Macaca fascicularis: one gene and its partner. The protein of the gene in region 2 purifies or fractionates together with the protein of the main gene of each other region. This does not show direct contact. Links are inferred from orthologs where the notes say so. Each region holds a gene or a part of one and is shown on either strand. Other genes may lie near its edges.

Region 1 (4,135 bases), on a different chromosome or scaffold from region 2:
GAGAATCACTTGAACCCAGGAGGTGGAGGTTGCGGTGAACTGAGAACCAGCCGTTGCACTCTAGCCTGGGCAACAAGAGCAAAACTCTGTCTCAAAAAAAAAAAAAAAGACTGGGGGTAGGAATCAGAGACTGCTGTCCCGACTTACAGAATCTTATACTGTTCTAGTTGCCAGGCCCCAAGAATGATGTCATCTCAGCACTGTCTCTAGAACCATTCATTCTCTCTAAGTGTGGAACTTAGACGAGTGAGAGCAGGCTCCTATTAAATAATTATGATCTTGATTGCTCTGGCCCTACTCAACTGTAAATTTTTTCCAGAGCCAGAATGGCTTCACAGAGGACAACTTTGCTCTGAAAAGAGTCTCTTTGGTCAGTGGTCCTCAACTGAGAGCTTTACAAAGAGTACCAATGCCCAGTTCCAGCGCTGGAGATTTTAATTGGCTTGGGGTAGAGCCCTGGCATCAGTATTTTTAGAGGCTCCCCAGGTAATTCCAATGTGCAGCCAGGCTGAGAATCACTGCTCGGTAAGTGGGATGACTGGGGAGTGGGAGATCAAATACTCTAACTTCTCACAGCACCTATTCTAGAGATCAGTGGGGCAGAAAGATAGAAATAAAAGGTGGAAAAGGACGAAATGGGTAAGTGTGGGTGAACTAGTTCCAGGGAAACGGCAATCTCCACTGTGGATTCAGGGAAGGCGTCACTGAGGAGGGCTTTCTTAACAGTTCAGGTCAACGGAAGCCATCTTGAGGCACACACATCGTGCGCGGCATCCTCCGGGAAGGTCGGGTCATTTCACCCCATTTTACTGCCGAGATGACCTAGGTCCAGAGACGGTAAAGAGCGGTGTACGACTCACACAAGTCGGGGGTCCTGTGAACTGAGGTTGAGCCTGGCGGGGGCAAGGCTCGGGGTGTTCGGTCCGAGATCTTTAAGCGAAGTCACCAGACCCCGCGTTCAAAGCCCAGAGGTAGGCAGGCGGCTGGCTCTCGGCCTCAGGCCGGGAGAGAACCCAGCGGGTACCAACCTCAACCTCGCTCCCGCGTCCAAGTGGAGAAGCGGAGCTGGTTGGCCCCGCCTCCGGGTTAAACAAAGTTCGTTACCTCCTAGGCGTGAGAGGGTGTGGCAGTCTTGTTGTCACTTCCGGGCGAATAGGTTAGCTAGAAGGAACCCCTCCATTACGCGACGGCGTAATCTGACGTCACTTCCGCGCGCCGCCGCAAACGTCAGTGTCGGGCGCAGACCGCAGCAGTGCGGCTTGCTGTTGGAAGTTCAGGCTCGGTTGTCTTTTGGGAGCCATGGAGAGTGACTTTTATCTGCGTTACTACGTGGGGCACAAGGGCAAATTCGGCCACGAGTTCCTGGAGTTTGAGTTCCGACCGGATGGTAAAAGCAGCCTGCCGCCCGCCCGGAGCGGGACCAGGCCTTGGGGCGGGCGAGTGGGGAGGCCGAGGGTCGGAAATCTGTGGGGAACTAGAGGAGGAAGGGGCTGAGACCTGTGCAGTGCGGATCTGAAAGGAGCGCCACTGTGTCTGCTCCACGGCGTCGTTTTATCCATACAACAAACGTTGGCTGAACGCCCACTGTGTGCCAGGCTCTGTTCCACTCTTTGGGGATACGACAGCGAAGATAGACAAACTTCCTCTCTCGTGGAACTTGTGTTTTACTGCTGGGAGAGAGATCATAAAAAGATGATTCCGGATAGCAGTGAGTGGTCAGAAAATATGGTAGAATCGCTGGATGGGCTGCTTTTAGATAGGTTGGCCATTAGAGAGCTCTAATGGTATATTGCAGCTGAGCCCTAATTAGCAAGAAGGACCCAGCCTTGTGAAGCTCACAAGGAAGACCATTCTACCCAAAGGGAATACCAGAAGTCAAGGCTGCAGGGCGGGAATGAGCTTAGGCATGTCTCAGGTGGTCAGTGTGATTGAAGAGTGGTGAGCTGGGAGATGGCAGGAGATGATGTCGGATAGGTAGTAGGAGCCGCACCTTGTAGATCTTTATAGACCAGGGTAAAGAGTTTGGACTTGGAAGGCTTTTTTAATTTTATTTATTTTTTTTTTTGAGACGGGTTTCGCTCTTTTTGCCCAGGCTGTAATGCTATGGCGCGATTTCGGATCATTGCAACCTCCGCCTCCCGAGTTAAAGCGATTCTCCTGCCTCAGCCTCCCGAGTAGCTGGTATTACAGACACCCACCACCACGCCCGGCTAATTTTGTATTTTTAGTAGAGACAGGGTTTCACCAGGTTGGCCAGGCTGGTCTCGAACTTCTGACCTCGGGCGATCCGCCGGCCTCGGTGTCCCAAAGTGCTGCGATTACAGGCGTGAGCCACCGCGCCTGGCCGGGCTTGGAAGGTTTTAAGCAGAGAAGAAATGTGATCTGTTCTTGAAAAAGCATTCTGGTTATTGGGTGCGGAATGGGCAACAGTGAAAACAGGGCTATTGATTAGGAGACTGTTGTCAAGACAAGAAAGATGTTGGGGGCCAGTCGCAGTGGCTCACGCCTGTAATCCCAGGACTTTGGGAGGCCGAGGTGTGCGGATAACTTGAGGTTAGGAGTTCGAGACCAGCCTGGCCAACATGGTGAAACCCCGCCTCTACTAAAAATACAAAAATTAGCCGGACGTGGTGGCAGATGCCTGTAATCCCAGCTGTTCGGGAGGCTGAGACAGGATAATCGCTTGAACCTGGGGCGGAGGTTGCAGTGAGCTGAGATAGTGCCAGTGTACTCCAGTCTGGGTGACAGAGCGAGACTGTGTCACAAAAAAAAAAAAAAAAAAGATGTCGGTTGGGACTACAGAGATAGTAGAAATGGAGAGAAAGATTTAGGAAACTGTTGGAGGCAGAATCAACTGGACTTTGATCGTTGATAGGATTTTTTTGGCGGAGGCACTGTGGTGAAGGAAAGAGGAATCAAAGATGACAGAAAACATCCATTAAGCGGGCCACAAAGATGTATCTGACAGGCCCCGACTGTGAGGGAGATGGATTTGTAAGCAGGGACCAAACAGCGTATTAGGTGTTGTGGTAAAAAGAAACAGAGGAGACTTGCAGCAGAGAAGGGGCACCTAGCCAAGCCTGAGGGTCAGAGGAGGCTTCCTACATAAAATGATGGGAGGAGGGGATGTGAGGTATTGATTAGGAGACCAAGAAGAGTCAAGAAGGCATTTTAGACAGCATGCAAAGAGGCTGAAAACCAAAAAGTGCTTGGGATGTTTCAGGCAGAAACCAAGTTGTTCGACTCCAGCTGTGTGAGAGAAGAATATTGCAGGAGTGAGGCTGGAAAAGCAGGCAGGGGCTTTGCTTAGCCGTATGCCATGTTGAGGAGTTTGGATTTTTTTTTTTTTTTTTTGAGATGGAGTCTTGCTCAGTTGCCCAGGCTGGAGTGCAGTGGCGCGATCTGGGTTCACTACAAGCTCCGCCTCCCGGGTTCACGCTATTCTCCTGCCTCAGCCTCCTAGGTAGCTGGGACTACAGGCGCCCGCCACCACGCCTGGCTAATTTTTTACATTTTTAGTAGAGACGGGGTTTCACCGTGTTAGCCAGGATGGTCTCGATCTCCTGACCTCGTGATCTGCCCGCCTCGGCCTCCCAAAGTGCTGGGATTACAGGCGTGAGCCACCGCGCCCGGCCGGATTTTAACCAGGAAGGCAGCGGAAAGCCATTGACTTTATCAAAGTATTAGAGTAACCTAATCTGATAGATCTGTTACCACATCACCTTGTCCACTATATGGACAGTGAACTGAATGTGAAGAAACTTGAGGCAGAGAGACAGCACAGAGACTGTTGGAATAAATTCACTGGGCTCATCTCACATGTATGTCTTCTAGTCTACATGTCTTCTGTTTCCTTCTATCTTCTCCTCATCCCCACCATGTATTCACATTAACCTGTTAGACGCACACATGGACAAAGGGTCTTGTGTACCAAATGTGCTCAGTGATAAAAGCAACAACTTTTCCATCACAGAAATAGAGTGTGGCACAGTCACATGATAATATATGTAAACAGCATCCTACAGTTTTCAAAATGTTTTCACAACTCATTTGAGCCTCAGGAGGTCCTATGTGCTGGTAAGTTATCATTTACTCTGCCTGTTTTCAGGACATTCACCTGCAAAAATGTGATTCG
Region 2 (3,643 bases):
TAAATCATGAAAACAATTCTGTAAAAACAAAGTCTGTTCTGAGTTTTAAGAGTTCAGAGCTCAAGTGCACGAGGAGATGCGATTTATTACTAACAGTTTAAAGGTAATGTGATCACATAATAAAACTCAGGGCACGCCCCTTTGGGTGAAAGGTCAGCATGGGAGGGGGCCCTCCCTGCTCCAGGACTTCAGAGAGGGGAGCTGGTCCTCACGGTCCCCTCCCACTCCGCAGGCAGCCCTGTGCCAGCCAGAGCAGCCTCAAGGACATCAACTGGGACAGCTCGCAGTGGCAGCCACTGATCCAGGACCGCTGCTTCCTGTCCTGGCTGGTCAAGATCCCCTCCGAGCAGGAGCAGCTGCGGGCGCGCCAGATCACGGCACAGCAGATCAACAAGCTGGAGGAGCTATGGAAGGTGGGGCTGCCCAGCAGGCTGACCCGTGCCTTCGTGTGGTTTCTGGTTGCGGGGAGGGGAGTATCTTCAGAGACGGCTTGACCCAGTGAGACCGCTGGAGATTTTCTGGAAGGAACTCAGGCCTCTGCCACCTCTATGTAGAGTGACCCCAGGGCAGGGCACCTTGGTCACCTTCCATCCAGGCAGCCTTACCTGACCAAGAAGAGCCTGACCTTGGGGAAAGGAAAGCTCTGGCTGCTGGAATTTTTCTTGTCTGATGGGGGGTGGTAGGGGAAGGATGGGGCTGGTTGTAGGTAGACTTGTCTGGCAGAGCCTGGACCTGCACAGACAGGTGCACTGCGAGAGTGTCCTGGGGAAAGAGGTTGGGGTCGAGGTTGGCACAGTCAGCTGAGCAGAGGGGAGAGGAGAGGGTGCTGGGTCAAGTAGTGGGTGCCTGGCCTCCCTCAACAGACAGCCCTCACTTTTCCCCACGGAAGCCTTTCTCTGGTTCCGGCTGTTTAGGATTTTGTGATAAAGTCATTCTAGTAACTAGACTAGAAGCTTCCATTTGCCTCCCATTCAATCAGAAATCTCACATAGGAACTGAAGTACAAGTTAAAATGTTTTTTAAGCCGGGCGTGGTGGCTCACGCCTGTAATCCCAGCACTTTGGGAGGCTAAGGTGGGCGGATCACGAGGTCAGGAGATCGAGACCATCCTGGCTAACATGGTGAAACCCCATCTCTACTAAAAATACAAAAAATTAGCAGGGCGTGGTGGTGGGCGCCTGTAGTCCCAGCTACTCGGAGGCTGAGGCAGGAGAATGGCGTGAACCCGGGAGGCGGAGCTTGCAGTGAGCCAAGATCGCGCCATTGCACTCCAGCCTGGGCGACGAAGCAAGACTCCGTCTCAAAAAAAAAAAGTATTTTTTAAGCATTGTTCAGCCGAGTACCTTTCCACTTGGATTTTCAGTTTGCCAGATGATTTTCATGATTCCCGTTTATATCTGAACAGTCCAGATAATGTCCTGTCCCCACCAGCATGGCACTCACTGAGGGAGCTGGCCCCCAGGGGAAGAGCTGCGGGCCCATGTTGGTTCTGGCTTAGGGTTAGCAGACGTGGGAGACGGGCTTCCCGGGCTGTGGACACAGTGAGAGAAACCGGTGGTCTTTGTGGCAGCCTGCGAGGAGGGTTAGCTGCTCTCGTTCACAAGCCGGGCGTGCTTGGAGGAAGCAGGCAGCTTTGAAGGTGCCCTCTGCTGTGGACAGTGTGTCAGGCTGGTGCCTGGGGCTCTGTAGGCAGGTTCACCCAAGTACCGGAACCCTGCTGGGGTGAGGAGCAGCAGCTGAGGCCCAAGCACGGGCTAGGCCGGTGTGCAGCTCCCAGTGTGGCATGGAGTTCCTGTTCCCAGGGTTTTCCTTGCAGATGCACCAGAACCCCTCCATGCCACCCACTGTGGCCCATTCTCAGAAGCGGCATGTGTGCTCCATCCCTCTGGTGCCTCTGCACCCTCGTTCGTTTGCATGTAGGGAAAAACAGGACGAGTGTTGTTGTCTTCTAGGAAAACCCTTCTGCCACGCTGGAGGACCTGGAGAAGCCGGGGGTGGACGAGGAACCGCAGCACGTCCTCCTGCGGTATGAGGACGCCTACCAGTACCAGAACATATTCGGGCCCCTGGTCAAGCTGGAGGCCGACTATGACAAGAAGCTGAAGGAGTCCCAGGTGATGTGTGCAGGAGGGCTTGGCCTGGGCTGGGCTCTGACTCTCACAGCTCTCTTCCTCAGGCTTCCAAAGGGAGGTTTTCTCTCTAGGCTGTGGGAGCTGACGTGGGCTGCAGCTGCAACACCTGAGAGTTGGAGCTTGTGGATCCAGGCCTGGCAGCCTGGTGGTCTGGGCCCCCGCCCTCAGAGCTGACATCAGCCTCAGTGTTTTCTATTTAAATCCAACACATCTTTCCCAGTGGGGTCCACAGCTTTGCCCACAGCTGCAGGAGTTAGACTCGGGCGTGATCCCTGTGAAGACCACATTTAGGCAACGGGAGCCCCGGAGTTCTGACCTCCCCTCCCTCCCTCCCCTCCTCTCTCTCTCCCTCCCTCCCGCAGCAGCTGCTCCCTGGCCACGGAGGCCTCTGGTGTGTGGTGAAGCCTCCAGACGGGATCGGCCTGTGTGTGTTCTGGGGACTCCTAATGGCTTCTCTTTCAGATATGCCCTTGGTGGCATTTGGGGCTGTCAGGTGCCGCTCACGGCGCCCGCTGTCACGGCAGAGGCTTGCTGTAGGGCCCGCCTCATGGGGCCTGGGGCATGTGGAGGCCAGGCCCGGGCATGTGCTGGAGGCTAACCGGGGCTCTTGTTTTTCATGTGCTCAGACTCAAGATAACATCACGGTCAGGTGGGACCTGGGCCTTAACAAGAAGAGAATCGCCTACTTCACTTTGCCCAAGACTGACTCTGGTAATGAGGATTTAGTCATAATTTGGTTAAGAGGTGATTTTAAGTTTTAAAATATTTGTGACCATAAGTAGCATAAAATTCCTAGTTCCACCCTTGTAAAGTGCCCCTTAATTTGAACTCTTCCTGGTGGAAGTGACGGCGCAGGTTAAAATGGCCACCTCTCTCACTTTCTTACCGCAAGACATGCGGCTCATGCAGGGGGATGAGATATGCCTGCGGTACAAAGGGGACCTTGCGCCCCTGTGGAAAGGGATCGGCCACGTCATCAAGGTCCCTGATAGTATCCTTCATGTGAAGAGGGTGGGGTTGGCTGGTGGGAGAGGAAAGTGGTGGGGCATCAGATGGAGGCCACCGTGGATTTGATGCTCGTCGCTGGGCCAGCATCTTGTGCTCTGTGGTAGTTGCTGGCTGGCACTGGCCTCCACTGCTCTTAGGAGAATTGCAGGGCCTTCACCTTCTGGGACAGCTGGTTGTATGGTTGCTTCCCCTCTGCCCGAATGGTGGTGATATTGGTGATGCTGCTTGTGTGACGCGTCCCTGGGCTGACTCTGGAGGTTAATGTGGCTGCAGGAGCGCCTTACCTGGATGCTGACTCTGCACACGGAGGTTCCAGAAGCCAGTGGTCACATGCAGACCCTGTGAGCACTCACTTGCTCCCAGGCCACGTTTGGGAATGTGCAGTAACCTCATGGTGACGTAGCCTGCAGGCCACAGTGGAGCAGCTGTAAGGCACAGGTGCAATCAGAGGCCTGGGGCGGGGAGGGGTCCTCGGAGAAGACACCACGGGTCCGACTCGGGCC

What was found.
Region 1: the proteins of UPF1 (region 2) and MAGOH purify together in Homo sapiens (affinity purification with western blotting; 3 studies listed by BioGRID and IntAct, with this or other methods). This does not show direct contact. The link is inferred for Macaca fascicularis from reciprocal best matches to the Homo sapiens genes UPF1 and MAGOH.

What each region holds. Positions count from the first base shown.
Region 1 is NC_088375.1:181,434,326-181,438,460, forward strand, and holds the start of MAGOH (protein mago nashi homolog), read left to right. Parts: upstream 1-1,229; 5' UTR 1,230-1,299; coding exon 1,300-1,387; intron 1,388-4,135. UniProt on the Homo sapiens protein: Required for pre-mRNA splicing as component of the spliceosome. Plays a redundant role with MAGOHB as core component of the exon junction complex (EJC) and in the nonsense-mediated decay (NMD) pathway.
Region 2 is NC_088393.1:19,255,529-19,259,171, forward strand, and holds part of UPF1 (regulator of nonsense transcripts 1), read left to right. Parts: intron 1-232; coding exon 233-413; intron 414-1,952; coding exon 1,953-2,114; intron 2,115-2,758; coding exon 2,759-2,876; intron 2,877-3,024; coding exon 3,025-3,123; intron 3,124-3,643. UniProt on the Homo sapiens protein: RNA-dependent helicase required for nonsense-mediated decay (NMD) of aberrant mRNAs containing premature stop codons and modulates the expression level of normal mRNAs.